Linked DNA regions of Oryctolagus cuniculus. The protein of the gene in region 2 interacts with the protein of the main gene of each other region in a pairwise test. Links are inferred from orthologs where the notes say so. Each region holds a gene or a part of one and is shown on either strand. Other genes may lie near its edges.

Region 1 (10,187 bases), on a different chromosome or scaffold from region 2:
ATGCTCTTATTTTTTAAAATGTGTTTTCTTTCCTCTTTTTTAACAGGAAGTGATTTTAGTAAGTGCTGAGAGAATGTGTAAACCCATCATAGGTGGGTTTATCATAGGTGACACTATTATAACACTGTCACAGGAGAATTCACACCTATAGATAAGTTAGTGGAAGAACAAAGTTAGTTTTGAAAGGTTAGAGAAAATGATGTTGAAATGTCAGATGCCCTCTATAAACTTGACCACCCTTGGCATCCTTCTTTTAATCTACCTGGGCTTGAGAAAAGCCTAGGGCATTTGAAATGAAGACAATTAACACCTCAGACAGGGCATTCACATGTAAAATTTTGTCACCTCTCAAAGACCTCAGGAGGTGACAAGTTTAGATGAGAAGACACTTTCAACCTTGGCTGACAGCTCCTCTAACTTGCAATACTTTTATATTTGATTTAAATGGCATCTATATCATAAGAAGTCAGTTTTCTTTAAACTGTGAAGCCCTCTTCCTCTGCTCTAGAATTTTTATTCTTTAGGCTCTTTCAAAGCACCAAGAAGAAAAATATTTTCCCTACTGGGTGAGATTTCAGGAAACAAGTCTTGCTTATTCAACACAAATGAGTTCAGTCCATTTTTTCCGGTTTCTCTCTCAATAAGCCCATTTGGCTTTCCTTTAGAGCCCAGGGTATTATAGCTGGAATTGAACTAAGGGGTCATCTGTTTCAACTCCATTTGACAGACAAGAAAAATGAGGCTCAGAGAGAGGAAGTGAGTTAGTTGCAAAACAGGGTGTAAAATTTGAATCTCATAATTACTGGCCTAATATTCTTCCAATTCACTTTGCCATTTTTTTTTTACCATTTGTTTATTTTTTTTAAAGAGTGACAGAGAGGCAGAGGGAGGGAGGGAGGGGTGAGAGAGAGAGAGAGGTCTGCCATCTGCTGGTTCACTCCCCAAATGGCCACAATGGTCAGAGCTAGGCCAATCCAAAGCCAGGATCCAGGAGCTGTTTCTGGTTCTCCCATTCTGGCCACTTTGTACTGCTTTCCCAGGCCATAGCAGAGAGCTGGATCGGAAATGGAGCAGCCAGGACTTGAACCGGCACTCATATGGGATGCTGACACTGCAGGCGGCAGTTTTACCCGCTATGCCACAGTGCCAGCCCCCATTTTGCCATTTTCAAAGGTGGGCTACAAACATATAGAAACCATATTTGTGTGTGTGTGTGTGCACATGTGTGCATAAAATAGTATCATTTTCTAAAGTTATTTGAAAGAGTGACACACATGCACACACAGTTTTACATTTGCCGGTTCACTCCCTAAATGCCTGCGACAGCCAGGGCTGGACTATGCTGACCAGGAGCCTGGAACTCCATACAGATCTCCCACAGGGGTGGCAGGGGGTCAAGTACTTGGACCATCGTCTGCTTCCTTCCCAGGAGCATTGGCAAGAAGCTGAATTGGAAGTGGAGGAGTTGGGATTTGAATTGGCATTCTCATATTGGATGCCAGTGCCACAAGTAGTGGCTTAAACCGATGTGCTACAATGCTAGCCCATGTTTTACCTTATTTCCTTAAGAGCATTAATTTAAATCATTACTCAACATATGTAGCATCTACCATGTGTCAGACAAGGAAGATACAGTGGTGAACGCAAATCCTGCCACCTTGGACCTTATAGAGACAATAAACAGACGATTTTGCTCCTAAGTGGTATATATTTTGTACCTGGAACCCATTGTTCCTATTACTCTGTTGGCACTTCCCACTATCTCCATTGCTCTCCTCTTTCATTTTTCCCCTTTCCTCTCTGGGGAGAGATAAGGAAGCCAGCCATTTCAGTTCCTCTTTTTTTCTACACTTTAAGCTCAGTGTGTAGCACTAGAGTGACGATGTCAGTATTTTTCATCAACACTACACTAGTGGGCTGGTTTGGCTGTCAGCTTGCTTGTGAAATGACAATGAGGTATTGGATGTGAGAGCTGTACTATTACCTTATAATTTATCCGCCGTTTTTTTAAAATGTGATTTTAGTTGTGCTGAACCCTATCATACCTGGCTGCTTTGACAGGAGTGCTATTTTAGCAACATGGAACAAAACAGAGAAAGAAAAGAAGTACGTATGGTACACTTGTCCTGTCAAATCCAGGTTGCTCTGTTCCCAAGTGTGTGGATGATTTGTCAAAATTGTTTAGAGACAAAAAAGAAAAGTTACATTTTGTTTTTAATCTGTGTCACACCAAATGTTCTCACAGTTTACTTCACAGGTGGGCTGTTGTCCATATGGGCTTATATAAGGGGTTCCCCTCCCCTGTCTTCTTTCATATTTGAAATTCCACCATTGTGATTAGTTTCTCTGGGATAATCTTTTGCACATTCAAAATACAGAGTCCAGGGGCTGGCGCTGTGTTGTAGCAGGTAAAGCCACCACCTGTAGTGCCGGCATCCCATATGGGCACCAGTTCAAGTCCTGGCTGCTCCAATTCCCATCCAGTTCTCTGCTATGGCCTGGGAAAGCAGTAGAAAATAGCCCATGTACTTGGGCCCCTGTACCCGTGTGGGAGACCCAGAAGAAGCTCCTGGCTTCCGATTGGCACAGCTCCAGCTGTTGTGGCCAGTGGGGGAGTGAAACAGCAGATGGAAGATTCTCTCTCTGTCTCTGTCTCCCCTTCTCTGTGTAACTCTGACTGCCAAATAATTTTTTTTAAAAAAGCTATACTACTATAGTTTTAATGATCTGTGATTGCTTTAAAATTTACTGTATATGGGTGAAATGACCATTTTTCCATTCAAATATTTATAGCTGTTGTTTATATTCCCACTAAACTAGGGTCTTTTTTACTTTTTACTTGCTAAACTTAGTATTAAGCGTTTTCACTGTAACATAAATTTAAAATGTTACCTCAAAAAGGAAGAGAATATTATGTTTGTGTCTACAAAGCACGTTCAATCTGTAAAAAACTAATTAAAAATCGTTAAAGTCTCTAAAATGTGAAAAGAAATGAAGGAGACTTATATTTCAGCTACTATGGCTGGGCATTCTTCCACCAAGGAGAGCTGTTGCTGGCTACCACTGAAATCTTAAAGGATTGTCCTTTTTTTTTTTTTTTTTTTTTTTTTTTTTGACAGGCAGAATGGACAGTGAGAGAGAGACAGAGAGAAAGGTCTTCCTTTTGCCGTTGGTTCACCCTCCAAAGGCTGCCACGGCCGGCGCACTGCAGTCGGCACATTGAGCTGATCTAAAGCCAGGAGTCAGGTGCTTCTCCTGGTCTCCCATGGGGTGCAGGGCCCAATGACTTGGGCCATCCTCCACTGCACTCCCGGGCCATAGCAGAGAGTTGGACTGGAAGAGGGGCAACTGGGACAGAATCCGGCGCCCCAACCGGGACTAGAACCCCATGTGCCAGCCCTGCAGGCGGAGGATTTAGCCTATTGAGCCGTGGTGCTGGCCAAAAGGATTGTCCTTAACCCTCATAGTTGGAGGGAAAATAACCATCTTTGGCTCTGAGCATCCAATTCATTGGTTAAGATATGAGGGTTTAAATGTCCTCCCAAGAGAGTTCCCAGCCCAGACGCATTCTCAGAAAAGTAGGTGGTGAAGTGGTGAAAGGAATACAACAGACAACATAGCTTCAGCTCTTTGTATTCCAATTCTAAAAGTATTTTACATAATCTAACGTGACATGTGTAAGACTGTTGAGTTCCAGGCATTAAACGATGTCTAGCAAAAATGGAGGAAGTTTTTGGGAAATATTACTTATCACTATTTGAAATAGAAGCAATGCTTTATTTCAGAGAAGAAAATGTAGGCTGAAGGCTTTTAAAAAATTAATGACAGCTTAACATCAATTGAAGAAGAAGCCATTCTCTAGAAACAACAGAATAAAAGTTACCACACAATTATCAACATGCACAAAATGTTGTAAAACAAGTTTTATGGCTGAAATCCTGAAAAGCGGGCCCTACACACCAAAGGGCATAGACAAATCCATGTAATGATGAAGACCCAGTTAAATGATTTGGCTTCATTCCAGGGCCCAGCAAATAGACAAATCTGGAATACCTTTGGACATACACTGGGATTTTTGTACCTCCTCCAGCACATTGGGATCCTAGACAAGGTGCTAGAAAAAAAATCAGTATTTACTTAGGACCAGGATCGTTCAAGATGACTATCTGAGTTAGGAGCTGAGAGAGAGGAACTTGCCCAAAGTCTATTGTTCACCTGCTTCATCTGATTCTGCAGGAGTCTCATGGCCATGATCAGTAGTAATTGCATATAGAAGGTGCCGTTTCGGTGCTTTGGTTTCAGAGCTTTTAGTCCTTCCGTCTTCAGTAGGTTTCAGCCCCGCATGACACGCTGCCTCTATCAACTCCTTTGAAGATCGGGTAAGCTAAGTCATTCCCGGTGGCCCCAGGGGGGAAAATGCAAGAATCGAAGCATTACCAAGCACTCTTGTCAGTGGGTGAGAGTCTGCATTGGCAGTACAGCCCAAATCGTGCAAAGTCCGTTTTCCAAGGTTGCACTCTTTGTAGGAACCCTATGTTGGTTGGGGGGTGGGGACCACACCCGGTGACAAGTTTGATAGAACCAAGCGGCTAAGTTGCTGAGCTGGTTTTAATTGAAGTGTGAGAGGGAGGTTTTTAGGCAGGTAGACAACATCCTGTTGTTCCGGTGCTTCTCTTTCTTTTTGCACATTTAGCTGAACTGGGAGTCAGGTGGCTGACTTGTGCCTGGCTGCAGCAGCTGCATCTCCCAAGTACCATCTGCAAACCTCGGCCTGCCCCAGAGTCTCCTAGGCAATGGATGCGGTGGCTGTGTATCATGGCAAAATCAGCAGGGAAACCGGGGAGAAGCTCCTGCTCGCCACCGGGCTGGACGGCAGCTATTTGCTGAGGGACAGTGAGAGTGTCCCGGGCGTGTATTGCCTTTGTGTGCTGTGAGTACGTTATGGCTGTGGCGGCGCAGAGTGTGGGCAGTGGGCACGGGGGGCCTGGGGGCAGGGATGCGGGTGGCAGTTGTTCATTAAGATCTCCTCTCCATGGCCGCAAGATTTCCTGTTCAGCTCCCACTTTGGCCGAGTGTCTTCCTGGGGATTTCATTCCCTGGCTGCCGCCTCTCCAGGAGGACCTCGCCAGGGACTTTCTGGGCAGCTGCAGAATGTAGCCTTGAGGATATGGGGAAGCATGGCCTAGAATTTACCTTTGCTTTGAGACTCGGGCTCCTGGCTTCCGTCTTGACTTCCAACTGAGGCCAGCAAGATGGAGTCCTGGAATGATGGGCCAATCAGATTTGGGGCCCCCAGCTCTGGAGAGAAGGAAAGGCCTCTCTTGAGATGGTTTGGAAGTGTCATCCCAAAGGAAGAATACCAAATTCAGGGAGAGGAGGCAGACTAAAGGGCAGAGTCCATTACTTTCAGAATGCGGCCACCAGTTGGGTCAGGACGCAGAGATGGGGTGTGTGTGAGTAAAACTGCTGCTCTGGATCAGCTTATTTAGCTTCTTTTAGAGGAGGTGTGTGGGGGACAGGAGGTTTTAAAAATAAGACCCTCCTCTATGAAAGCTAGGACCGATAGTGGTAAAGGGTGTGGCGGGAAAACACCCTCGTCATGATTCAGCTTTGCCTTTGTCTAGGCGTGTCTGGGTCTAAATGCCCCATTTTGAATCAGATGCACCTGCATCTTTGTTCCAGGGCTCCAGAGGCAGACAGCTGTGAGAGCGAAACCCTGTGCTGGTCAGAAGCCAGGTGTGTGGCCTTGGCAAATTAATGTCTTGGTCTTTCAGTTTCTGCATCCATTCAATGGGTATTACCCACCTCACAGAACTGTGAAGGTTCCGTGCTGTAATGCATGTAAAAAATTAACACTGAACCTAACACATAGTAAGTGTTCAGTAGAAATAAGATATTGGTATTATTACAATCAATCTTCTCTTTCAGTTGATTACTTTTAACACTCCTGGGAAGGACCTAGCTGAAGCATTGTCATCACCAGGATAAAATCACCCATGGAAACACCAGCACTCTACGTTAGGTTCTAGACAGAAACAAAATAAGGGCTAACGCTTGGTAGTCAGTCAGTTCAGTATTGATGATACATTGATTGTATATTGGTTTTTAAAAATGGCCAAGGTTTGTTAGTAGTAGTTCTGAGATTGTACTAAATACATTCATCATAAGGACTGCAAAGGAGATGCACACAAGTTACTGAATCTCTTGAGCTTGCAGTTTCATGTTTTCCTGATATTACTGTGCTTCCTGAGTGAAACCAGGAGAGGGTGGTGAAAGCCAACTAGGATTCTTAGGCGCTTTTCTTTTTAATTTAAAAAAAATTTAAAAATTTAACTGATATATGAAAATTGTACATATTCATGGGGCTCCATTGATGTTTTGATACGTGCATACGTCATGTAATGTTCAAATCTAGATAAACATGTCAATCTCCTGCAAGCATTTGTTGTTTCTTTATAGATAGACTCTTTCATTATCAAAAGAAGGTAGGGGAGTGAGTGGGAGGGTTGAGGGGGCTGCTTTAGGGAAGCTAGCCAAGGAGGTAATGTGCTTCTTAGCTTAGCGGTAAAGAGGAAGGCACAAAAGAAGCCTGGGCAGGGGTTGGGAGAGCGGGGGACAGTGTGTGGCTACGTACATTAAGGCTTCATTTTTGCTGGCCTCCTGGCCATTTCTTAAGCTCACTGAGTATGCTTCCTATTTAGGGTTTTTGCCCTTAATGCTCCTTCTGCAAAAATTTGATTTACATGTTTAGGCAACTGACTCTTCCTTCAGCGAGGCCTTCTCTGGCCACCCTATCTAGACTGAATGCCCTCTACCTCTCCCACTTACGTGCTCTTTATTTTTCTTCAAGGAGCTTTAAAGGCCTGACATTTGCATGTTTACTTAACTGTATTGCTGGGATCTTCTAGAAAAATGTAATCTCGGCTGGCACCGCGGCTCACTAGGTTAATCCTCCACCTGCGGCACTGGCACCCCTGGTTCTAGTCCCGGTCGGGGCACCAGATTCTGTCCTGGTTGCTCCTCTTCCAGTCCAGCTCTCTGCTGTGGCCCGGGAGGGCAGTGGAGGATGGCCCAAGTCCTTGGGTCCTTGCACCCGCATGGGAGACCAGGAGGAAGCATCTGGCTCCTGGCTTCAGGGTGGTGCAGCGTGCCGGCCATAGCGGCCACTTGGTGGGTGAACCAACGGAAAAAGGAAGACCTTTCTCTCTGTCTGTCTCTCTCTCACTGTCACTCTGCCTGTCAAAAAATAAATAAATAAAATAAATAAATAAATAGAAAAAATGTAATCTCCGTGAGGGCAAGGGTCTTCATCTCCAGCCCCAGGAATATAGCCTGGTGCATAGATAGGCACTCAAAAAATATTTCTGAATTAACCAACCAGTGAACTATAGAAGGAAATTCTGTTTTTTACTGCGAAGAGCCTTGATCCAGGGGCTTGCGTTTTGGTGAGATGGGTAAAGCCAATGCCTGCAATGCCAGTATCCTGAAGGGGCGCCAGTTTGTGTCCCGGCTGCTCCACTTCCAATCTAGCTCCCTGGTAAAAGCAGCAGAAGATGGCACAGGCGTTTGGGCCTCTGCACCCATGTGGGAGATTCAGATGAAGCTCCTGGCTTCTGGCCCAGCCCTGGCTATTCATCTACCCGGGGAGTGAATCAGCTGATGGAAGATCAGTCAATCCCTCCCACCCTCCCTCCCTCTTCTCCCTCCCTCTTCTCCCTTCCTCTCCCTTTCTCCCTGTGACTCTGACTTTCAAATAGATAAATAAATCTGTGCATGCATTGTGGGGGGGAAGAGCCTTAATCTGTCATCAGGAGGCTAGGAGGGGGGCTCCAGAGGAGTCACTCATATTCTCTAGGCCTTAGTTTCCATGTTTATAAAACAGGAATAGTAATGCATGTCTTCTGCAAGTTTGCTGAAAGTGAAATATGCAGAGAGAAGGACAAGTGTAGCCTTTTGCCCACATAGGCCAGAACCATACAAGGGATGAATTTAAACAGGAGGGAAATTCAATTCTCAAATGTGTAAATGTAGTTTGTATGACTCTTGGGTCTCCATGAAAGCCTCCTCGTGAAGCCACAGAAAATAGTAGGCAAATTGGGAGTTCCCTACTGTGTCTTTTGATTGGTACACTCTGGCTTCAAAGTTTTATGAGATTGTTAGGGTGATCGGCACACTGTGCTGCAGAGGGAAGACACAAGGACATTTTCCTTTGATCAGTGTTTCTCAACCTTTTTGAGCCACGTAGCCTTCTTGATAAACATAAACATTTCATTCCCTTTTTTTTTAATTAAATTGTATTTTGAAATAAGCCCTGTACTCATTTTAAACCAAAACACTTATGCTTGAAATATGCAGCTTAGGTGGTAATGTAAGTGGTATCATGTACTTATGAACCACAAGGTACAGCTAACAAACATGCATTGATTGTAGGGTTTACTCAGAATAGTTTCTCATTCTCTCTCTTTTTAAAAAGATTTATTTATTTATTTGAAAGAGTTACACAGAAAGAGAAGGAGAGGTAGAGAGGTAGAGGTAGAGGTAGAGAGAGAGAGAGAGAGAGAGAGAATCTTCCATCTGCTGGTTCACTCCCCAATCAGCCGCAATGGCCAGAGCTGTGCCGATCCAAAGCCAGGAGCCAGGAGCTTCCTCTGGGTCTCCCACATGGGTGCAGGGGCCCAAAGACATGGGCCATCTTCTTCTGCTTTCCCAGGCCACAGCAGAGAGCTGGATCGGAAGCGGAGCAGCTGGGACTTGAACCGATGCCCATATTGGATGCCTGCACTGCAGGCGGCGGCCCCTCTCATTCTCTTGTTTGTTCCCATTGACCAAGATTTGGTTGAGCTTTAGTTCATATATATATAGACAGGCAGAATGGACAGTGAGAGAGAGAGACAGAGAGAAAGGTCTTCCTTTGCCGTTGGTTCACCCTCCAATGGCCGCCGCGGCTGGCACGCTGCGGCCGGCGCACCGCGCTGATCCGATGGCAGGAGCCAGGTACTTATCCTGGTCTCCCATGGGGTGCAGGGCCCAAGTACTTGGGCCATCCTCCACTGCCTTCCTGGGCCACAGCAGAGAGCTGGCCTGGAAGAGGGGCAACCGGGACAGAATCCGGTGCCCCAACCAGGACTAGAGCCCGGTGTGCCGGCGCCGCAAGGCGAAGGATTAGCCTAGTGAGCCGCGGCGCCGGCACTCCTATATATATTTTTAAAGATTTCTTTATTCACTTTGAAAGTCAGTTACAGGGCGGGGGACAGAATGTGAGTTTCCATCTACTGATACATTTCCCCAGATGGCTGCAACAGCCAGTTTTGGACCAGGCTGAAGCCAGGAGCTTTATCCGGGTCTCCCATGCAGGTGGCAGGGGCCCAAACACTTGGGCTGTCTTCTCCTAGGCCATTGGCAGGGAGCTGGATTGGGAGTGGAGCAGCTGGGAAATGAACTGTTGCCCATATAGGATGCTGAAATCACAGGCTGTGACTTTACCCGCTACACTGTGGTGCTGGCCTTTCTGTATTTTTCTTGTAATAGATTTCAAATGCCTTTCAAACTGTACTTTAAGCTGTATTCTCACACTACACTTGCTCTTTTCCCCAATTATGAACCCTCTAATCATGGATTTCAGATATGGCCTTTTCTTCTGTTCGGTTTCAGAAGCCAAAGCTTTATGAATTTCGTAAAGCACTAAAGAAGTTTCCCATTTATCGGACTATTCAACTTCATTTTAAGTCAGAGGTTTTTCATCCAATCATATTCTTTAAGCACATCTGGATTTTTGTATCATAAGTCTATTAAAATAGTTCCTTATACCTATTCAATATAAAAAATTTGAAAAATATAGATAATGGAAATAAGGGAAAAAAGTCATCTATAGTTTTACAACCTAAAGATAGCTATCGTTGAAAATTAAGTGAATTTTCTTCTGTATCTTAATAAGATGAATTGCTTTGTGAGCACACATGTGCTCTTAAAATATTGTATTCTGCGTTCCCATTTAACATGTAATATCCACTTCTTATAATGTTCTTACAAATGATTTTGAAGCATTACTTTTAATGGCTTCATGATAGTGTAGCTAGCTAGTGAATACCACATTTCCCTTTACTAGTCATTTGTCTTTAAATATTTGACTCTTTCCATTTTCTTATTATAAATTTCATCATGATTTGTACTTCAGTGTATAAAGGTTT
Region 2 (9,643 bases):
GGCACCTCACCTCTACACCACACACTACACCACACACCTCACCTCTACACCACACACTACACCTCCACACCACACACTACACCAGCACCTCACCTCTACACCACACACTACACCACACACCTCACCTCCACACCAGCACCTCACCTCTACACCACACACTACACCGGCACCTCACCTCTACACCACACACTACACCACACACCTCACCTCTACACCACACACTACACCACACACTACACCACACACCTCACCTCTACACCACACACTACACCACACACCTCACCTCCACACCACACACTACACCAGCACCTCACCTCTACACCACACACCTCACCTCCACACCAGCACCTCACCTCTACACCACACACTACACCACACACCTCACCTCTACACCACACACTACACCAGCACCTCACCTCTGCACCACACACTACACCACACACCTCTCATCTCTACACCACACACTACACCAGCACCTCACCTCTATACCACACACTACACCACACACCTCATCTCTACACCACACACTACACCAGCACCTCACCTCTACACCACACACTGCACCAGCACCTCACCTCTACACCACACACTACACCACACCTCACCTCTACACCACACACTACACCACACACCTCACCTCCACACCGGCACCTCACCTCTAGACCACACACTACACCGGCACCTCACCTCTACACCACACACCTCACCTCCACACCAACACCTCACCTCTACACCACACACCTCATCTCGGTACCACACACCTCACCTCTACACCACACACTACACCAGCACCTCACCTCTACACCACACACTACACCACACACCTCACCTCTACACCAACACCTCACCTCTACACCACACACTACACCACACATCTCATCTCTACACCACACACCTCACCTCCACACCAACACCTCACCTCTACACCACACACCTCATCTCGGTACCACACACCTCACCTCTATACCACACACCTCACGTCTACACCAGCACCTCACCTCTATATCACACACTACACCAACACCTCACCTCTACACCAGCACCTCACCTCTACACCACACACTACACCACACACATCACCTCTAGACTGCACACCTCACCTCTAGACCACACACCTCACCTCTACACCAGCACCTCACCTCTGCACCACACACTACACCACACACCTCACCTCTACATCGGCACCTCACCTCTACACCACACACTACACCACACACCTCACCTCTACACCAACACCTCACCTCTACATCGGCACCTCACCTCTACACCAACACCTCACCTCTACACCAGCACCTCACCTCTACACCACACACTGTACCAACACCCCTACACCAACACGTCACCTCTACACCAAGCACCTGCCCTTGGCCAGATGCCCACCTTGAACACAGTTCTTAGGAAGCACAAAAATTGGAGACTGAAGGTGTTGAGTTGCGTGTTGCCTGCAAAACACATGGGTGTGTACACACCCTACGGTACCCTCCCCAGCCCTCAGAAGGAGTTGGGTGGTTTTGTTGGCCATGTTTTGATGTGTAGCTGTGAAGGCTGCCTTGTGTACACTGAGGACAGGCTATTTTCTGCTGGTCTATAGCTAGGACGGTGCTTGGCTTGGCCGATACCTGAGTGTGCACGTCCGCTGATCTGAAGGACTGCTGCTGGTGTGGATGGCTGATGGGGCTGTGAGTCCTGTGCGTGCCGGGTGGCGTCTGAGCTGTGTGACGTGCTCAGGGCACGGAAGGCTGCTTTCCTTCAAGGCGGCATGGTTTCGGCACGTTTCTAAGGTGGTTTGGCCGGGCGGCGTGTTCCTGCCCTCCGAAGCCTAGGCGGCATGGCGTGAGGCTGGGTGGATGGCTGGGCGGAGCCACCGAGGTGCCCGCCCGGCTCCTCTCCTCGTGCGGTTGTTGGAGGGTGGGCGTCGGGCTATAGGAGTCACCATCTGAACTCAGCCCGACACCACCGGGAGCCTGTGAGTGTTTGCTGTGCCCGGGGGTCGCCAAGGCCTCGTAGGTCTGGAGCCGGCATGGTGTGGCCTGGCAGGGCTGTCCCGGGCTCCTTTGGAAACCTGAACGGAGTGTGGCCTCTCAGGTTTTCTGTTAGGATCTTTGTGGTCTCTTAGAGCGCCCTTCGTAGCTTTCTGAGAGACACCTCCTCCTGTTTGCAGAAAAGCCTCTGTGCTAGGAAAAGAGGTTTGCTCAGGGTGCTGCTGGGGGGGTCATTTGAGTCCAGCCTTTTGGGTCGAGGCGTGGGGGTCCTGACACTGGACTGATGGCTGAGGGCACTCCCTGGTTCCCAGGGGGTGACAGGTGACGAGGGGGTGGTCCTGGCCCCTCGGGGTGTGACGTGGTGACTGAGGTGCCCTGTCTCCTGGGAGGTGACGTGGCGCGACCAGAGGGTCTCCCGGATCTCCCGGGACGTGGTGAAGTGCTAGGGGTTGTCCTGGTCTTCAGGATCTGGCGAGGTGCTGAGGGCTCACGCTTGGAGAACGTGGCACGAGGTGCCTGGGCTGGCGTGCCCCTCTCCCAGCTGGCATGGTTGCAGGGCTGGAGGTGATGCACGGGGGGTGAGGGTGGCAGGCCGGGCCCCACGGCAGAGGTGAAGTCAGTGTCCAGTAGCGAGCAGCACTCACAGACGTGTTGGTGTGAGCCCAGTTCCTGTGGAACTGTGAGGGCAGAGGCGACGGGCGTGGAACCGCGGGATGAGGAGGGCCCCTGTGGGAACACTCGGCTGACCGAGACGCTGGGACAGGGTGCTGAGCGGGGAGGCCGCGCCTCGGTGGGGCTCTGGACGTGCAGTGTTGCCCCTCTCCTCTCGCGACGTGACGACGGAGTGGTGTGGGAGGTGTGAAGCCTCCACCGTGCTGCTTCCCGGCCTGTGGTGCTCTGCGCGGCCTCCAGGTCGGGAGCCGTTGCTGGGTGTGCAGAAGCTGGGGCCCTGGATGGGGTTGCAGGAGGGCCTCTGGGGGCCGTCTGGGCAGCTCGGGACGTGGCCCACTCTGGCGCTAGCAGAACTGCGCAGACTTGCTGATCCCGCGACACGCACAGCTGCTGTTGCTCGTGGGAGCGCAGAGCTGGGACCCTCCGGGGGTCTCCTTTGGCGTTTCAGAAGAGCAGCTCATGTTTGCTTAGCAAAGTTGTGTGTAGGCTTCAAAACCCAAGTCGGAACAGTGTCGCCTGCTGTGAGTGCTGGCCCCTCAGTGGAAGTCAGAGAGCCGTGAGGACCACTCGCCCTGACCCGAGCTCCATCTTCCGCCCTGCCCAGTGAGGACCTGGGGGAGTTCATGGAGATGAAAGGTGCCAACAGCCCGGGGATTCTCGTGTTGACCACCGGCCTCAGCAGACCCTTCATGCGCCTCGACAAGTACCCCACGCTGCTCAAGGAGCTCGAAAGACACATGGAGGTAGGAGCTGTCGGGGCCCCCGTCACCCAGGGCCCTAGCCAGGGACTCGGGCTGTGTGTTCTGACAGGTGGAGGGAGGAGCTGTCGGGGCCCCCGTCACCCAGGGCGCTAGCCAGGGACTCGGGCTGTGTGTTCTGACAGGTGGAGGAGGAGCTGTCGCAGCCCCTGTCACCCAGGGCCCTAGCCAGGGACTCGGGGCTGTGTGTTCTGACAGGTGGAGGGAGGAGCTGTCGGGGCCCCCGTCACCCAGGGCGCTAGCCAGGGACTCGGGCTGTGTGTTCTGACAGGTGGAGGAGGAGCTGTCGGGGCCCCTGTCACCCAGGGCCCTAGCCAGGGACTCGGGGCTGTGTGTTCTGACAGGTGGAGGGAGGAGCTGTCGGGGCCCCCGTCACCCAGGGCGCTAGCCAGGGACTCGGGCTGTGTGTTCCCACAGGTGGAGGGAGGAGCTGTCGGGGCCCCCGTCACCAGGGCACTAGCCAGGGACTCGGGCTGTGTGTTCCGACAGGTGGAGGGAGGAGCTGTCGCAGCCCCCGTCACCCAGGGCGCTAGCCAGGGACTCGGGCTGTGTGTTCCCACAGGTGGAGGGAGGAGCTGTCGGGGTCCCCGTCACCAGGGCGCTAGCCAGGGACTCGGGGCTGTGTGTTCCCACAGGTGGAGGGAGGAGCTGTCGGGGCCCCCGTCACCAGGGCACTAGCCAGGGACTCGGGCTGTGTGTTCCGACAGGTGGAGGGAGGAGCTGTCGCAGCCCCCGTCACCCAGGGCGCTAGCCAGGGACTCGGGCTGTGTGTTCCGACAGGTGGAGGGAGGAGCTGTCGGGGCCCCCGTCACCCAGGGCGCTAGCCAGGGACTCGGGCTGTGTGTTCCAACAGGTGGAGGGAGGAGCTGTCGGGGCCCCTGTCACCCAGGGCACTAGCCAGGGACTCGGGCTGTGTGTTCCGACAGGTGGAGGGAGGAGCTGTCGGGGCCCCCGTCACCAGGGCGCTAGCCAGGGACTCGGGCTGTGTGTTCCCACAGGTGGAGGGAGGAGCTGTCGGGGCCCCTGTCACCCAGGGCGCTAGCCAGGGACTCGGGGCTGTGTGTTCCGACAGGTGGAGGAGGAGCTGTCGGGGCCCCCGTCACCCAGGGCGCTAGCCAGGGACTCGGGCTGTGTGTTCCGACAGGTGGAGGGAGGAGCTGTCGGGGCCCCCGTCACCCAGGGCACTAGCCAGGGACTCGGGCTGTGTGTTCCGACAGGTGGAGGGAGGAGCTGTCGGGGCCCCTGTCACCCAGGGCGCTAGCCAGGGACTCGGGGCTGTGTGTTCCGACAGGTGGAGGAGGAGCTGTCGGGGCCCCCGTCACCCAGGGCGCTAGCCAGGGACTCGGGCTGTGTGTTCCGACAGGTGGAGGGAGGAACTGTCGGGGCCCCCGTCACCCAGGGCGCTAGCCAGGGACTCGGGCTGTGTGTTCCCACAGGTGGAGGGAGGAGCTGTCGGGGCCCCCGTCACCCAGGGCGCTAGCCAGGGACTCGGGCTGTGTGTTCCCACAGGTGGAGGGAGGAGCTGTCGGGGCCCCCGTCACCCAGGGCACTAGCCAGGGACTCGGGGCTGTGTGTTCCGACAGGTGGAGGGAGGAGCTGTCGGGGCCCCCGTCACCAGGGCACTAGCCAGGGACTCGGGCTGTGTGTTCCGACAGGTGGAGGGAGGAGCTGTCGGGGCCCCCGTCACCAGGGCACTAGCCAGGACCCTCTGACGGTCCGCGCAGCAGTGGCCGGAGACAGCCTGAAGCTGCAGGCTGCAGGAACGCATCATTCACGAAACCGGCTTCGTTTGCTGACGCCTGCCCCGCCGCTGTCTTTCCCCCACGCTAAATCCCGTGGCTCCCGCTGAGGAGAGCAGGGCTGCGGAGTGAGCGGTGCTGGCGTCCTGGCTTGTGATGCAGAAGCTCATAGGGTGTTTCTTCTTCAAAGGATCATCATCCCGACAGACAGGATATCCAGAAGTCCATGACTGCCTTCAAGAACCTGTCTGTAAGTGCTGGAGCCGAGTGTGGCAGTGAATCGGGAGGGACAGGTTAGGTGACGAGAGCTGCTTTCACGCGGCTTCAGCGTCTGCTCGCATGAGAGATGACGATGAGCGAGGCGTGGGGACCCCGTGGCCGTCACTGCTGTTGGAGCGGGCGCTGGGCACCCGCTGAGGGACCTGGTGGCTGTAGATTCTGGAAGGCACCACTCCTTAGTGTCACAGCCGCGGCCACAGCGGGGCTCCGGTGGCTCCGCCCACACGTGTTCCTCCAGGGAGCACAGTTGCCCTGGCCCTTACTGTCTTTGGCCTTTATGTTGGCGAGGCCAGTGAGCCAGAGCGTCCGCTTCCGTTCCTACAGTGGCAGGATCTGCTCTGTTTGTAGGAATACTGCTGGGTGTTGCAGCCAAGTTGTGTTTGCTTCTGTGAGTTAATCCCATACTTTTTTTTTTAAAGAAAATGTTTCCAACTCCATACAGTCAAGCAGGTCAGTCGATTACCTGTCTTAGGAGGTAGGCCAGGAAGCAGTGGCTGTCAGTGGGAGGGGTCAGGCAGAGACAGCACAGCCAGTCTGGAAGCTTCGGGAGGTCCTGTCTGACAGTGTCGTTCTGTGTCTCAGGCCCAGTGTCAGGAGGTGCGGAAGAGGAAAGAGCTGGAGTCCCAGATCCTGACGGAGGCCATCCGGAACTGGGAGGGGGACGGCATCAAGACCCTGGGCAGCGTCATCTTCATGTCGCAGGTCGTGATGCAGTGTGCAGGGAGCGAGGTACCGCAGCCCAGCACCGTCCCCGCCTGCTGTCCCCCCTCGGGGCCCCGCCACACAGGGTCATCATGGCAGCCCACCACCGTCCCCGCCCGCTGTCCCCCCCGGGGCCCTGCCACACAGGGTCGTCAGGGCAGCCCACCACCGTCCCCGCCCGTCTGTCCCCCCTCGGGGCCTGCCACACAGGGTCATCATGGCAGCCCACCACCGTCCCCGCCCGTCTGTCCCGCCTCGGGGCCTGCCACACAGGGTCGTCAGGGCAGCCCACCACCGTCCCCGCCCGTCTGTCCCCCCTCGGGGCCTGCCACACAGGGTCATCATGGCAGCCCGCCACCGTCCCCGCCTGCTGTCCCGCCTCGGGGCCTGCCACACAGGGTCATCATGGCAGCCCACCTGCTGTCACTGCCCGTCTGTCCTCTCCTCGGGGTCCTGCCACACAGGGTCATCATGGCAGCCCACCACCGTCCCCGCCCGCTGTCCCGCCCCAGGGCCTGCCACACAGGGTCATCATGGCAGCCCGCCACCGTCCCCGCCCGTCTGTCCCCTCCTCGGGGCCCTGCCACACAGGGTCATCAGGGCAGCCCACCTGCTGTCACTGCCCGTCTGTCCCTCCTCGGGGCCCTGCCTCACAGGGTCATCATGGCAGCCCACCACTGTCCCCGCCTGCTGTCCCGCCTCGGGGTCCTGCCACACAGGGTCATCATGGCAGCCCACCACTGTCCCCGCCCGTCTGTCCCCTCCTCGGGGCCCTGCCACACAGGGTCATCAGGGCAGCCCGCCACTGTCCCCGCCCGTCTGTCCCTCCTCGGGGCCCCGCCACACAGGGTCATCATGGCAGCCCACCACTGTCCCCGCCCGTCTGTCCCTCCTCGGGGTCCCGCCTCACAGGGTCATCAGGGCAGCCCGCCACTGTCCCCGCCCGTCTGTCCCGCCTCGGGGCCTGCCTCACAGGGTCGTCATGGCAGCCCACCTGCTGTCACCACCCGTCTGTCCCCTCCTCGGGGTCCTGCCACACAGGGTCATCATGGCAGCCCACCACTGTCCCCGCCCGTCTGTCCCCGCCTCGGGGTCCTGCCACACAGGGTCATCATGGCAGCCCACCACTGTCACCGCCCGTCTGTCCCCTCCTCGGGGTCCTGCCACACAGGGTCATCATGGCAGCCCACCACTGTCCCCGCCCGTCTGTCCCCGCCTCGGGGTCCTGCCACACAGGGTCATCATGGCAGCCCACCTGCTGTCACCACCCGTCTGTCCCCTCCTTGGGGTCCTGCCACACAGGGTCGTCATGGCAGCCCACCTGCTGTCACCACCTGTCTGTCCCCCCTTGGGGCCCTGCCACACAGGGTCATCATGGCAGCCCACCTGCTGTCACTGCCCGTCTGTCCTCTCCTCGGGGTCCTGCCACACAGGGTCATCATGGCAGCCCACCTGCTGTCAACGTCCGTCTGTCCCCTCCTCGGGGTCCTGCCACACAGGGTCATCAGGGCAGCCCACCTGCTGTCAACGCCCGTCTGTCCCCTCCTTAGGGTCCTGCCACACAGGGTCATCATGGCAGCCCACCACTGTCACCGCCCGTCTGTCCCCTCCTTGGGGTCCCGCCGACAGGGTCATCATGGCAGCCCACCTGCTGTCACCGCCTGTCTGTCCCCTCCTCGGGGCCCTGCCACACAGGGTCATCATGGCAGCCCACCTGCTGTCAACGCCCGTCTGTCCCCTCCTCGGGGCCCTGCCACACAGGGTCATCATGGCAGCCCACCACTGTCACTGCCTGTCTGTCCCCTCCTTAGGGTCCTGCCACACAGGGTCATCATGGCAGCCCACCTGCTGTCACCACCTGTCTGTCCCCCCTTGGGGCCCTGCCACACAGGGTCATCATGGCAGCCTACCACTGTCACTGCCCGTCTGTCCTCTCCTTAGGGTCCTGCCACACAGGGTCATCATGGCAGCCCACCTGCTGTCACTGCCCGTCTGTCCCCTCCTTGGGGTCCTGCCACACAGGGTCATCATGGCAGCCCACCTGCTGTCACTGCCCGTCTGTCCTCTCCTCGGGGCCCTGCCTCACAGGGTCATCAGGGCAGCCCACCACTGTCACTGCCCGTCTGTCCCCTCCTTAGGGCCCCGCCACACAGGGTCATCATGGCAGCCCACCTGCTGTCACCACCTGTCTGTCCCCCCTTGGGGCCCCGCCACACAGGGTCATCATGGCAGCCCACCTGCTGTCACCGCCTGCTGTCCCCTCCTTGGGGTCCCGCCACACAGGGTCATCATGGCAGCCCACCGTCACCACCCGTCTGTCCCCTCCTTAGGGTCCTGCCACACAGGGTCATCAGGGCAGCCCACCACTGTCACTGCCCGTCTGTCCCCTCCTTAGGGTCCTGCCACACAGGGTCATCATGGCAGCCCACCTGCTGTCACCATCCGTCTGTCCCCTCCTTAGGGTCCCGCCACACAGGGTCATCATGGCAGCCCACCTGCTGTCACTGCCCGTCTGTCCCCTCCTTAGGGTCCTGCCACACAGGGTCATCATGGCAGCCCACCTGCTGTCACCACCCGTCTGTCCCCTCCTTGGGGTCCCGCCACACAGGGTCATCATGGCAGCCCACCTGCTGTCACCACCCGTCTGTCCCCTCCTTGGGGTCCCGCCACACAGGGTCGTCATGGCAGCCCACCACTGTCACCACCCGTCTGTCCCCTCTTTGGGGTCCTGCCACACAGGTCCTCAGGGACCGTCAGTGAGGACAAAACCCAGCAGGACTCCTGTCCTGTCACAACTTGGTCTGGGGCTTGTTAGAGTGCATTAGAGGGGCTTAGATCTGGGTGCGGGCTTGTCTAGAGCCTTGTAAGGTCTGTGCCTGTCCGGCCGTCACTCCTGGGAATGTTTCCCGTGGTTCATGTCATTGCACTTTTCTGTCGTGTGTACCAGTTGGCATTTACTTACGGCACGTGGTGGGGTGGGGAGGGGTCACGGTTTTCTTCTGGGTTTAGTTTAGTGGGAGGTTAAACCAGGTTCTGCCCTCTGAACCCCCCGAGCCGTCCACTTGGACCGTGCGCGTGAGTTCATGCTCACTGCGTTACGAGGGCAGCACCTCTTTTTGCGTGTTCTGTCTCTGGGAAAAGCAGCTGACGTGATCGGAACCCGCGAGGTCCCATTCTGAGACGTCTGTCCCCTCCGCCAGCTGCTGAGGCCTGAGTGCCCCAGAAGTCGTGACTGCTCTTCCTGACTTAGTGATCTTGGGCACGTGTCCCACAGCGTGTCCTTGTGGTGCCAGATGTGCACCCCAGTGAGTGCTGCTGCCCGGGTTGGGGGGGGGCTGGGGGGGGTGACGGTTAGGGGCGGGGTTAGGGTTAGGGCTAGGATGGGGGTGGGGGTGACGGTTAGGGGTGGGGTGAGGGTTAGGGCTAAGGCTAGGGGGGGGGTGAAGGTTAGGAGTGGTGTTGGGGTGAGGGTTAGGGTTAAGGTGGGGGTGAAGGTTAGTGGTGTGGGGGT
Region 3 (10,407 bases), on a different chromosome or scaffold from region 2:
CTGTCCCGGTTGCCCCTCTTCCAGGCCAGCTCTCTGCTGTGGCCAGGGAGTGCAGTGGAGGATGGCCCAGGTGCTTGGGCCCTGCACCCCATGGGAGACCAGGAGAAGCACCTGGCTCCTGCCATCGGATCAGCGCGGTGTGCCGGCCGCGGCGGCCATTGGAGGGTGAACTAACAGCAAAAAGGAAGACCTTTCTGTCTCTCTCTCTCACTATCCACTTTGCCTGTCAAAACACACACACACACACACACACACACACACACACAAAACTGGAGAGGACACAGGCATTTACCTTGGGCTGGCTAAGCAACTGTGCTAAGCCTCAGTTTTTGTCATCTCTAAATGGGGATAAAATAGTACCCTTCATGGTGGCAAAGTTTAAATGAGCTTATTCACAAATTCAGCGAACATCATTGTGGTAGACAAACAGTGCGTGGCCTCAGAGTTTTCAGTCTAGTGAAGGGGAAAAAAAGGAGACGTTAGGGCTGTCATTGTGGCATAGCAGGTGAAGCCGACTCCTGCGACAGTGTTGCCACTGCTCTGAGTCTCGGCTGCTCCACTTTTGGTCCAGCTGCCTGCTAATGTGCCTGGGAAAGCAGCAGAGGATGGCCCCAGGGCTTGGGCCCTGCATTGGGTTTTCCTCTGCAATATCTAATGTTTGGGGATCCTATCTCCACACCAAGAGATGTTGCATCCTGTCACCTACCAGGCCCTTCCCTCACACAGCCCTGTCTGGCTTCTTAGACCTTAAAGAAGCCTTTTCCGGCCTCTCCCAACCCTTGGTTCCTCTTGGTGTTGTGGTCGGCTCACCACACAGGTGCTTCTGTTATTCTCCGCCACCCCTGGCCTGTCTGCAGCTCCCTGCTCTCCGCAGCCTCCCAGGAGAGCTCACAGCCTCCTCATCTCACCTGGTCTTGTCAGCCTTCTTTTTTCCATCCTCCCCCAAATTCCTGTAATGCTCATAACCGTCTCTTCCAGCTTCTCTGCTGACCACTTGGAGTTTGTTAGTTTACTCTTGCACTCGCAGTGGCTGTTCCTGAGTTTCTTACGCAGGCTCTGCTCTCGTTTGCATCTGCTGCAGCACATAGCTCAGTGCTGAGCGCCAGGTCGACTCAGTCAAAGAATGATTCATGATTAAGGAAGCATTTCAGTCCTGAGGTTGTGCACCTGCTGCCTGCATGCCCTGGATCGAGAAGCTCTTGGGGGACTGACTGCTTCCCAATCCAACCTATATGTAAAGACCTGGTCTTTGTTTGGGGGCGCTTGGAGTCTGGACTGTGCACCTGCAGAGGCGTCACTGTGCCGCAGGTGCAGAGAGACAGCTGAGGAGTGTGGTGTGCGTCTGGCCGGGCTATGACCTTTGAGGGTAGCCCTTGATGGAGATGAGGGGTGACGGGAACACACAGACAGGAGAGTGCACAGTAGTACCCGGGTTCCTCCATATTTTCCTGGGCGCTGAGGGTGGAAGGACCGTTTGGCCATCCTGGGACTTGCTTTGAACTGGCCCCCAGGATAGGGGAACATGAGACTGGGAGGGACTGGGGCTTAGCTGAGCGTCTCTGTGCCTCTCCTCCAGGCCAAGGCCGTCGGCTTCCTCTACCACCCCTGTGCCCACCCCTGGCTGAAGCTCCGGCTTGCCCTCCTGGCCCACACGTTGGTGACGAAGCCCCCGCTTGCCCCCGACTCCAGTCTTACTCGGGAGCGGGTAAGCGGCAGGTGGAAGGTGCTGTCGGGCAAGGAGGATGATGCCCCACGTGCTGGGAAGGAAAATTCGAGAGCTTGCTCCCCTTTCCCCTTTTGCTCTAAGGACTGATTCCTTTCATAGCCCGTGGTGCTGACAGCCTGGGGGGTGGCCCTGGAGATGGCATGGATAGAGCCAGCCTGGGCCGCCCACTGGCTGAAGAGGCGGCGGCGGCAGCGACAGAGAAAGGAGTGGCCCCACTCTGTCGGGCTTTCTGGGGCCCCTCCCTCTGCTGGAGCGGGGCTGTGTGGGAGGAGGTGTGCCCAGGTAAGGCCTGCGGGGCTGGCTCGGTGGGCAGCCGGATTACTGGGTTCTGTGCGCAGGCCAGGGCTCACCACCGTGTCTTCTCCCCTCAGGCCCTGGCCCTTGCTCGGCAGAGCTGGTGGCCCCCAGGTGCTGCAGGGACATCCAGAGGGCCCAGACAGCCCTCTCCCAGTGGTGCCAAGAGGCGGGGGCTGCGGGCCGCCCTGGGTCTCCAGCCCACTCCCTCAGGCCCGAGACCTGCCTCGTCTTCCTCCTGGAGCTTGAAGTCCCAGCAGCGCATGTTGGGAGCCTTAGATAAGGGGAGTAAAACTACAGTGCTGCCTGGGCTCCCTGAGAGCAAGGCCAGCTCCAGGACAGAGGCTCTGGAGCCCCATGGGCAAGGCAGCCCCGGCGGCTGTGCCTGCCCCACTCAGCCTTCCCCAGCCCCGCGGGCAGCAGCGCCTCCGCGGGCAGCTCAGGGCCCCACACCACGCACCGAGGAGGCCGCCTGGGCGGCCATGGCCCTGACCTTCCTGTTGGTGCTGCTCACGCTGGCCACACTCTGCACTCGGCTGCACCGAAACTTCCGAAGAGGGGAGAGCATCTACTGGGGGCCCTCCGCGGACAGCCAGGACACGGTGGCCGGTGAGTGTCCTCCCCCAGCCCCCCACCCCTCTACTCCCGGCGGTGGGCGTGTCCCTGACTGCACCCCATCTTGCCCGCAGCTGTGCTGAAGCGGAGGTTGCTAATGCCTCCGCGCCGCGGCAAGCGTTCCCGACGGAGACCCCTCCTTCCGCCCACACCGGACAGTGGCCCGGATGGGGACAGCTCTGACTGACCTGGCCCGGCCCTGCCGCTGTGGCGCCACGGGCTCCTCCCGCTGGGAGGCCGCGACCTCTGCCACGTGGACCCGCGCCGCAGCGCCCCCTGGTGGCAGACGCAGCATTGCCGAGGCCCGACTTCCTTGGGAGGGGTGGCCCCTGGGAGAAATGAAGCTTTGTGCCTCCCGTTCCGAAATTCCCCATATTTCTAATTAAATTATTTTAGTAGAATCTGGAGTTGAGCTTGTGCCTCTGCCCCACAGACTCCCACCCGGACGCCCGTGTTGCTTGCCTTAGCGGGGAGGGCACACCGGCTGCTCTCCCCTCTGCGGACCTCCCCCCGGCTGCTGGCACCAGCGCCCTTCGTTCGCCAGGCTGGTGCCTCTCCCTGCCCGCGTGCCCGGCCCCCGCACCGCCCAGCACTGGAAGCAGCACATGGCCACTTATTTATTTTTGATACAAATGTACATGACACACGTCTTGACAGTCAGCCCACCACCACGCAGGCAGGGCCTGGCCCCCCAGGGAAGAGGCAGGACAGGGACAAGAGCTGGTGGTGGGTGCTGGCGTAAGCCTCTCCAGCGTGCCTGGCCTGCAGCTGGGGGTGGGGGGTGCCCAGGCCCCTGGAGGGTGGGACCACAGCAGGTGCAGGTAGTGATGGTGGTGCTGGCCTCCACGAGGTTAAGGGGAGGGGACCGTCAGCTCCGCAGCCACCAGCTGAGTCGGGGACCCCGGGGAGCCAGCCCCAGGCTCAGGTGCTCTGTCCTCCGCTCCAGCCAGCACACCTTCCCCTCCACAGGGGAGGGAGAGGAGGAGGGAGGGAGAGAAGTGGTTTTCTTGTTTGAAGTTCATGGAGAAGGGGTGCAGTGGGGGTAGCGATGACGAGGGACATAGGGCAGGACCACAGCTGGTGAGCCTGCAGTCTCTGGCCCCAGGCTGGGGGGAGGGAGGCTGTCCCCCAATGCTGGTTCCCCCACTCTGGTCCCCTTGTCCCTCCAAGCTCCAGGTGGACCAGGCCTCCGGGACGGCACTGCCGCCCGCACACTCACACGCAGGCACGCAGGGACACTCAGTTACCACAAAGTTAAAGTTAAGGAGTAGGGAGAGGAGAGGAAAGATTTTCCAGTGTTTGCTGCTGAGGCCCCCAGCACGCAGGCTGGGGCCTGTGCCCTCGGGAGGGGCCGTTTGGCATGAGAGGAGAGCAGCAAGGGGGCTGGTGGCTGCGGGGCAGGGACATCCACAGAGAGTATGTACAGGGGGGGATGCCCCCACTCAGCCCCCAGTAGGGCTGAACTGGCTCATGGGGGTGGGGTGACGCAGGGGGAGCGGCCCCACTGGGAGTGTCTCCCTGACCCGAGGCTGAGGGTGCTGGGAATGACGCCTTGCAGGCCCCTGCACGCTAGGAGGGAGGGGCGCTATGTACAGGGAGGGAGGTACATGGAATGTGGGGGACAGAAGGTCCTGCCACCCCACCTCCCCATCCTTGGGGGCTTGAAAGGGTGGGCACCAGGGCGCCTGGCTGCCAGAGGAGGGCGGCAGCACTAAGGGCACTTGTGCCAGTGGCTCTGTGGGGTGGGGATTAGTGTCTGGAGTGGCCCAGCTCCCGTGGCCAGTGAGGTCCCAGGGTGCAGGTAAGGGTGTAGGGAGAGTGGTCACTGCTTCTTCTCTCGGGTGGTGATGGTGACCAGCTGCTTGGCAGCCTTGGCAATGTCGTAGGCGCACTGGATCACCTGCTGAGTCAGCAGCTGGAAGTCCACGGGGGCGCCAGGCTCCGGCGGCACCGTCTTCCGGCACTCACTCTGCAGCCGGTAGGCGCTGGCGTTGAGCAGCCGGAGGGAGCTGCGCACCGGCTCCAGGGCTGGCCTCTGCAGGGAGACGGGAGGCCGGGCCTTGGACTTTAAGCCCAGCACATCTGTGCCTCTGCCCAGGGAGCTGTCACGTTGTCCACGTCTGCCCCACCCCTCGGGCTCCCACTCTGACCCCTGTACCTTTGGGAAGAGAGAGGCCATCTCGGTCACAGCCAGATGGATCTTCTCTGAGCAGGGCACAAAGCTGGAGGGAGGGCAGAAACGAGTGGGCTCTCCGGGCTGGTTTCCAGGGACGCTGGGGGCTGCCTGCCCCTCCCCCCTCTCCTGCGGCAGGCCTGCCGGCATACCTGTCATGCTTGAACTCCTGGGCCGCCCGCAGCAGCTCCTGGATGTTCTTGGTGACCTGCTCTGTCTTCAGAATGACGTCCTCTGTGCTGGGCAGCCCGGGGTCCAGGTCCCCGTCCAGGCTCTCCAACTCCGGGTGCAAGTCCTCCTCTTTGCCTAGCTCCAGAAACCGCTTCCCTTCCAGCCTGTCCCGGGGTCAAACACGAGGGACGTTTGGTCCCAGCGCTGACCTGGGGCGGGGTGGGGGGCTGTGGTGCAAACCCCAGGGCGCTCACCCCAGCAGTGGGTCCCCGCTCTGTGTGTTCTCATAGTCGCTGTCAGCACCGCTGCCGTGGCGCGAGAGCTTGCTCTGAAGGGGGTGGAGGGGCAGGGGGTGAGTGCTCCAGACTGGCCTGGGCCCACACGCCCCCGCCCCCAGTCGCCCCCAGCCCCCTTTGGGTACTGGGCGGCGGGCGTTACCGCGTGGCGGCTTCCTTCCTGGGAGCTGGACAGAAGCGGGGAGGAGGGCGTGAAGGGCACGGCTGAGGCAGACACCCCCTTCCGGATCTGCAAGGCAGGGCGGGGCTGGAGTCAGCGCCTCCCCCACCCCCCGCAGCGTGCCCAGTGTGACCGCCCCAGGCTCTGCTTACCCGGTAGAGGCCAGCAGGGACATGCACCGAGTACATGGTGTCGTCCTCGAGCTCCTGCGGGGTCAGCACAGCGGCGTCAGGGCTCGCCTCCGGTGCCCCCGCCCCCGCCCCGAGGCCCGCGGGCACTCACGGAGCTGTGGAACGGCTGCAGCCGCGTGCTGAGCTCGTCCGCAGGCGCGCCGCCGCCGAAGGGCTTCAGGGCAGAGCCCGGCTCGTACATGGAGAAGGCCTGGCGGTCCCTGCGGTGGGTGCTCCCGCCGGGCCCCATGGGGGTGTGTTCCGCCCGCTCACTGGGGAGCGGGGGTGTGGGCGCCGGCCCCGGGGGCTGCCGCAGCTGCAGGTTCTCTGCCTGCAGCTTGTGGATCTGCAGGTGGACACCGGTGTGTCGGCCGCGGGGCGCAGCCGGGCCCCCTCCCGCTACAACCCCGGCCGTGGCCATGGTGACAGCGCTGACCTCCCTCTGTAGCCGCCGGAGCTCGTCGCTCAGGCTGCTGTTGACCTTCATGAGCTGCTGCACTTTGGCCTCCGAGGTGGCCAGGGCCTTCTTCAGCTCCAGGTACTCCTGCAGCGTCACCGCCCCGTCCGACAGGTCCGAGGAGTCCATGCTCTGTGGGGAGACACGCCGGCCGTCAGCCCTCGGGCGCAGCCCGGGGCTCCGGCGATCCCTGCGCTGGGAGGAGGTAGAGCTGGGGCCGGGGGCAGTGCTCAGACCCGGGCGCGGTTGTTCCGGGTGGCGCCGGCACTGCGCAGGGGCTCCTGGTCCGTGTCCTCGTCAGAGGCTACGCTGTCGTAGTCGTGCTGGTCGTCCAGGTCGCTCTGGCTCCGTGCAGACAGCTCGAGGTGGTCTGAGGGCACAGGGCCTGTCACTCGGGGCGCCTCCCCTGGGCTGTCTCCCCAGGCAGGGGGAGCCGCGCCCGCCGCACCTGTCGGGCTGCTCAGGCTCTTTCCCTGCTGCCTCCGCTTGGCCTCGCTGAGAATGTCGATGATCAAGGTGGCAAACTCGCGGGCGTTGAAGCGGGCCAACTTCTGTCGCCCCTGCAAGGCAGGGAAGACCACGCTGACCCCTAACTGGCAGTGACGGGGCCGCCAGGCACTGCCCTGCCACCCGCCTGAATCAGGGCTGGTCCGTCAGGGCCCCGCTGGGAAGAGGCCAAGTACTCAAAGTAACAACGTCTTCCTGGTTCCCCAACCCCAGCTCAGCGAGGGGCGAGGGTGGGCAGGAGCCCAGTCCCAGAGCGCTGAGGAAGGGCAGGGCTCCTGGGGACGGAGAGACCACCCTCTGACCTGATTCCGGGTAGCCGAGTACTCCGGGTTAACCGGCAGGAAGGGCACGGCGCTGCGCTCCGTCACCAGTGTGCTGTGGTTCTGGGTGGCCAGCCACACTGTGGGGGAGGGACAGAGAGGCCATCAGCATGGTGGCCGGGCCTCCCCATGCCCACCGAGCCTGCTCAACAGAGCGGTAGGCTTATGCAGGATGAGGCTGGCGGGGGACTAGGCACAGAACAACGCCCACCCCGCCCTCCATCCAGCAGCCCCAGTTCAGGCTGGAATCTGGCTGTGGCCAGGAGGCAGTGACGTGGGGGGCAGAGGGGAGGGAGGAGCGGGGACGCGGCCAGGCACCTCTTCTGGGTTCCACTGAGGGCCCAGCAGGGGAGGCACTCGGGCCGACCGCCATCCCCGAACTTACCCGCGTCATTCTCTCTCCGGTCTACCTCGTCATACACGTCCATGGCAAGCTCTTCAAAAAGCCGGTTGCTGAGCTGGAGGCAGAGAGGGATGAGATTCTGTCAGATCACTGGCCCCAGTGCTGGCCAGGCCAGCTGGCTAGGATGGCGTGAGGCAGGGGAAAGGCTCGTGTCCTTGCTGCCACCCAGCCCCGTGTTCTGAGACCTGGAAAACAAGGCAGGGGCTTGGGTCCAAGCTCCAGGGAGGGCGAGGACAGAAGGGAGCAGGACTACTTGATTCCTCGTAGGTCAGAGGTGGGGCTAAGGCCCTGGGAGCCCTAGCACATGGAAGGCAGAGCCGAGGTCCAAGACAGGAAGGGTGCAGGGGCGGGGGGGGCTAGTGGGGGGCTCCGAGCATCAGGGTGCTCACCGCCTGCAGCTTCTTCTTTGCAGCTTTTGCCAACTCAGACAGGTCCAGGCTGGGGACGAGGAGGGGAGACGCAAGGGAAAGAAGGGCCGTGAGAGGTGGCCAGGCCCCTGTGGTGACCTCCCAGGCATGCAGGGCTCCCAGGCAGACAGGACCGCGACGCCCGCGCCCGCCCGCCACAGCCTCTATACCTCTGAGACATGCACTTTTGCCGAGACCTAAGTCCAGAGGAAGGCAGCAGAGGGAAGAACAGGACAGCAGCTGTTACCCAGCAGCAGGGCCGCTCGCGCCGCCTCGGGAGGAGCTGGCACTCTCGGCACGCACCCCGACCCTGCCTGCTCTGTCTGGGGCCCCTTCACGGGCTCTCGGCTACCTCGGGAGCACCTCGGCATCTCCCGCCCCAGGTGCTGCGCCGTTCCCTCTCGCCTGGGCGCCTTTCCCACCCAGTGGCACCACCCTCACTGTAGGGACCCAACATTCCAACAGTGCACAGGGCACGCCTCAGCCCTGCCTCCACCGAAAGCGAACTTCTAAGTACGGGCTGGATGCCTTGCACGCATCATCTCACTTAATCCTCTCAACAGCTCTGCCAGTCCCTCCTCAGATGAGGTAGCCAAGACGGGCTGAGCGTCCTGCCTCCAGTCCCACAGCCCATGGACGGCACAGCTGAGCCCACACGCCGGGCCTGGAACCCGTCTGCCCTGGGAATGGCCTGGGCTCTTGCCCTGGCTGTGTTCCTGAGACTCCCGCCCCATCCCGGGTGGTATTTCCAACCCCTGTGCCTCCTGCCGTCGGCAAGAGCTGCAGTGACGGGCAGCCTCCCTAGCTGGAGCAAGAGCAGGGAACATGTCAGACATCCGCCTGTGACTGCAGTGCCCAGAGTAGCTGCTGGCTCTGAGAAGGTGCACGGCCCATGTTGCACTGAGCGCGTGCCCACAAGTCGGGCTTTTTGCCGCACACACAAGGCAGAATCAGACCAGAGCAATGGGGAGAGTCTCAGAACAGGACGTCTGGGTTGAGGGATCCCTGCTGCCCAGGCCTGACCCTCTGCATCTGTTCACACCAGCTCCTAGGGGAGGGAGCAAGCTCCTCTCCAGTTACAGCCTGGCAGTGGAACACCGCCGCGGCCAGAGATGGCCACCAGGTGGCACTAGCATGCATCTCCTGAGCTGGATGAGTGCCTGGGGTGTCCTTACCACCTGGGGCTCTCCCAGCCTCTCAGATCAGAGGCGGGAACACCTCACTCAAACCCTGTGCCATGCATGGCCCTTGCCTGATTTCTGAGTGTGCGCCCAGGGCCTGGGCAGTAGCCGCAGAGCGGGTCAATCCCTGGAGCCTACCATCTTTCACTACGGAACAGAGGTTTGTGTAAGGTGGGGTCAGAGCCCAGCAGCCACCCTCCCAGCAGAGAGGCCCTCCTTGTGCCCTGGGCAGTCAAGCGGCTCAGGTGGTGCTGGTCGTGTACTGAGCTGGCAATCCTTACCTGCCGTTGGGCCCAGCATTAGGAGTGAAGACTAGGCTCTGAAATACCTGTGCCTCCAGCCCCCCGACAGGATGGGGGTGGGGTGGGGTCCCAGGCCCCTGAAACCAGGGGAGAGGATGGGGTGGGGCCTCTGGGGGTCAAACGTCCGCATGGCATCCAACAGCCTTTGGGAAGGGGCGTCAGGTGGGCACTCACCTGTCAGCCATCTGTGGGATGATGTAATGCCCATTCTTGTGATCTGAACAAAAATAAAAATGCCAAGTCACTGGTGCTGGGTGGCCTCAGCAGCTGGGAGCCCACCCCACTGCCACAAGCAGGGCTTGGCACCCAGAAGTGTCGGGGGGGAAGGGGGAGGGCAGGCCACCCCAAGAGCGCTGGGAGCTGGCTGGAAGTTAGGCCCACCCCCACTCTCTGGCCCCAACCTGCTGCAGCCCAGAGCCTGCAGCAATTTCACAGGAGCCAGTTGCCTAGCAACACTGTTCCCCAGCCGGCTTTGTCACCATGGCACCTGCTGCTGGGGTGTGTCTGGGTCCCACCTGCCAGGCCCAGCCAGACCTGCCCGTGCTCTGCTCACCCGGCTTACGTCCACAGAGGTAGAAGGCCAGCCGGTCAGTGAGCTCATACTGGCACTCGACTAGCCTTTCCGCCAGTTCATGGTGCCCGGCCTGCCTGTGGGGAGGGGTATGGCTCAGCCCTGCAGCAGCAGCCCACTGCCCCCACCGGCCAGGCCTCACCCCCTGGCCGACCCTCACCTGGCATAGTCGATGGGTGTGCGGCCATTAACGTCGGGGGAGCCAGGGTCAGCCCCGTACACGACCAGCAGCTCTGCCTGCAGCGTCTGCCCTGCCTTGGCAGCCACGTGCAGGGGTGTGGTGCCCTTCTCTGGGTGGAAGAAGTTGGCCTGGGCGCCCAAGGACAGCAGGCGCAGACATGTCTCCAGGTTGCCGGTCCGCACGCTTGAGTGCAGTTGCTGCAAGCAGTGGAGTGTGCAGTAACTGTGCACGCGTGTGCACGAGTCCTGCCCCAAGCTGCCCCTTGCCCCGCTGCTCCCCGCAAGCCCACCAGCTCCAAGGGCCTCAGCCAAAATCTGGCCATGTCAGGGAAGACAGAAGGCTCCCCACCAGGAGTGAATGCCAACGAATAAAAACTGCCTTCAGGGCTGGCACCCGGTGCAGCAGCCAGGATGCGGCCTGGGATGCTCACATCCCCATCCAGAGGGCCTGCTCCAAGTCACAGCTCCTCCACT

What was found.
Region 1: the proteins of ARHGEF7 (region 2) and SH2D1A interact in binary tests that used the Homo sapiens proteins (3 or more experiments, as listed by UniProt). The link is inferred for Oryctolagus cuniculus from reciprocal best matches to the Homo sapiens genes ARHGEF7 and SH2D1A.
Region 3: the proteins of ARHGEF7 (region 2) and GIT1 interact in binary tests that used the Homo sapiens proteins (3 or more experiments, as listed by UniProt). The link is inferred for Oryctolagus cuniculus from reciprocal best matches to the Homo sapiens genes ARHGEF7 and GIT1.

The regions. Positions count from the first base shown.
Region 1 is NC_091453.1:102,131,432-102,141,618, forward strand, and holds the start of SH2D1A (SH2 domain-containing protein 1A), read left to right. Parts: upstream 1-4,286; 5' UTR 4,287-4,379; intron 4,380-4,591; exon of another isoform or gene 4,592-4,693; 5' UTR 4,694-4,793; coding exon 4,794-4,930; intron 4,931-10,187.
Region 2 is NC_091440.1:2,032,255-2,041,897, reverse strand, and holds part of ARHGEF7 (rho guanine nucleotide exchange factor 7), read left to right. Parts: intron 1-3,258; coding exon 3,259-3,397; intron 3,398-5,341; coding exon 5,342-5,401; intron 5,402-6,012; coding exon 6,013-6,159; intron 6,160-9,643. UniProt on the Homo sapiens protein: Acts as a RAC1 guanine nucleotide exchange factor (GEF) and can induce membrane ruffling. Functions in cell migration, attachment and cell spreading. Promotes targeting of RAC1 to focal adhesions. May function as a positive regulator of apoptosis.
Region 3 is NC_091448.1:45,035,550-45,045,956, forward strand, and holds the end of GIT1 (ARF GTPase-activating protein GIT1), read right to left. Parts: intron 10,132-10,407; coding exon 9,914-10,131; intron 9,831-9,913; coding exon 9,736-9,830; intron 9,400-9,735; coding exon 9,357-9,399; intron 7,897-9,356; coding exon 7,870-7,896; intron 7,731-7,869; coding exon 7,682-7,730; intron 7,348-7,681; coding exon 7,275-7,347; intron 6,970-7,274; coding exon 6,872-6,969; intron 6,623-6,871; coding exon 6,511-6,622; intron 6,433-6,510; coding exon 6,299-6,432; intron 6,195-6,298; coding exon 6,042-6,194; intron 5,952-6,041; coding exon 5,718-5,951; intron 5,642-5,717; coding exon 5,588-5,641; intron 5,505-5,587; coding exon 5,418-5,504; intron 5,308-5,417; coding exon 5,234-5,307; intron 5,144-5,233; coding exon 4,961-5,143; intron 4,858-4,960; coding exon 4,794-4,857; intron 4,671-4,793; coding exon 4,458-4,670; 3' UTR 3,239-4,457; downstream 1-3,238. Other genes in the region: TP53I13 (tumor protein p53-inducible protein 13), read left to right, coding at 1,577-1,705, 1,826-2,008, 2,098-2,629, 2,710-2,822. UniProt on the Homo sapiens protein: GTPase-activating protein for ADP ribosylation factor family members, including ARF1.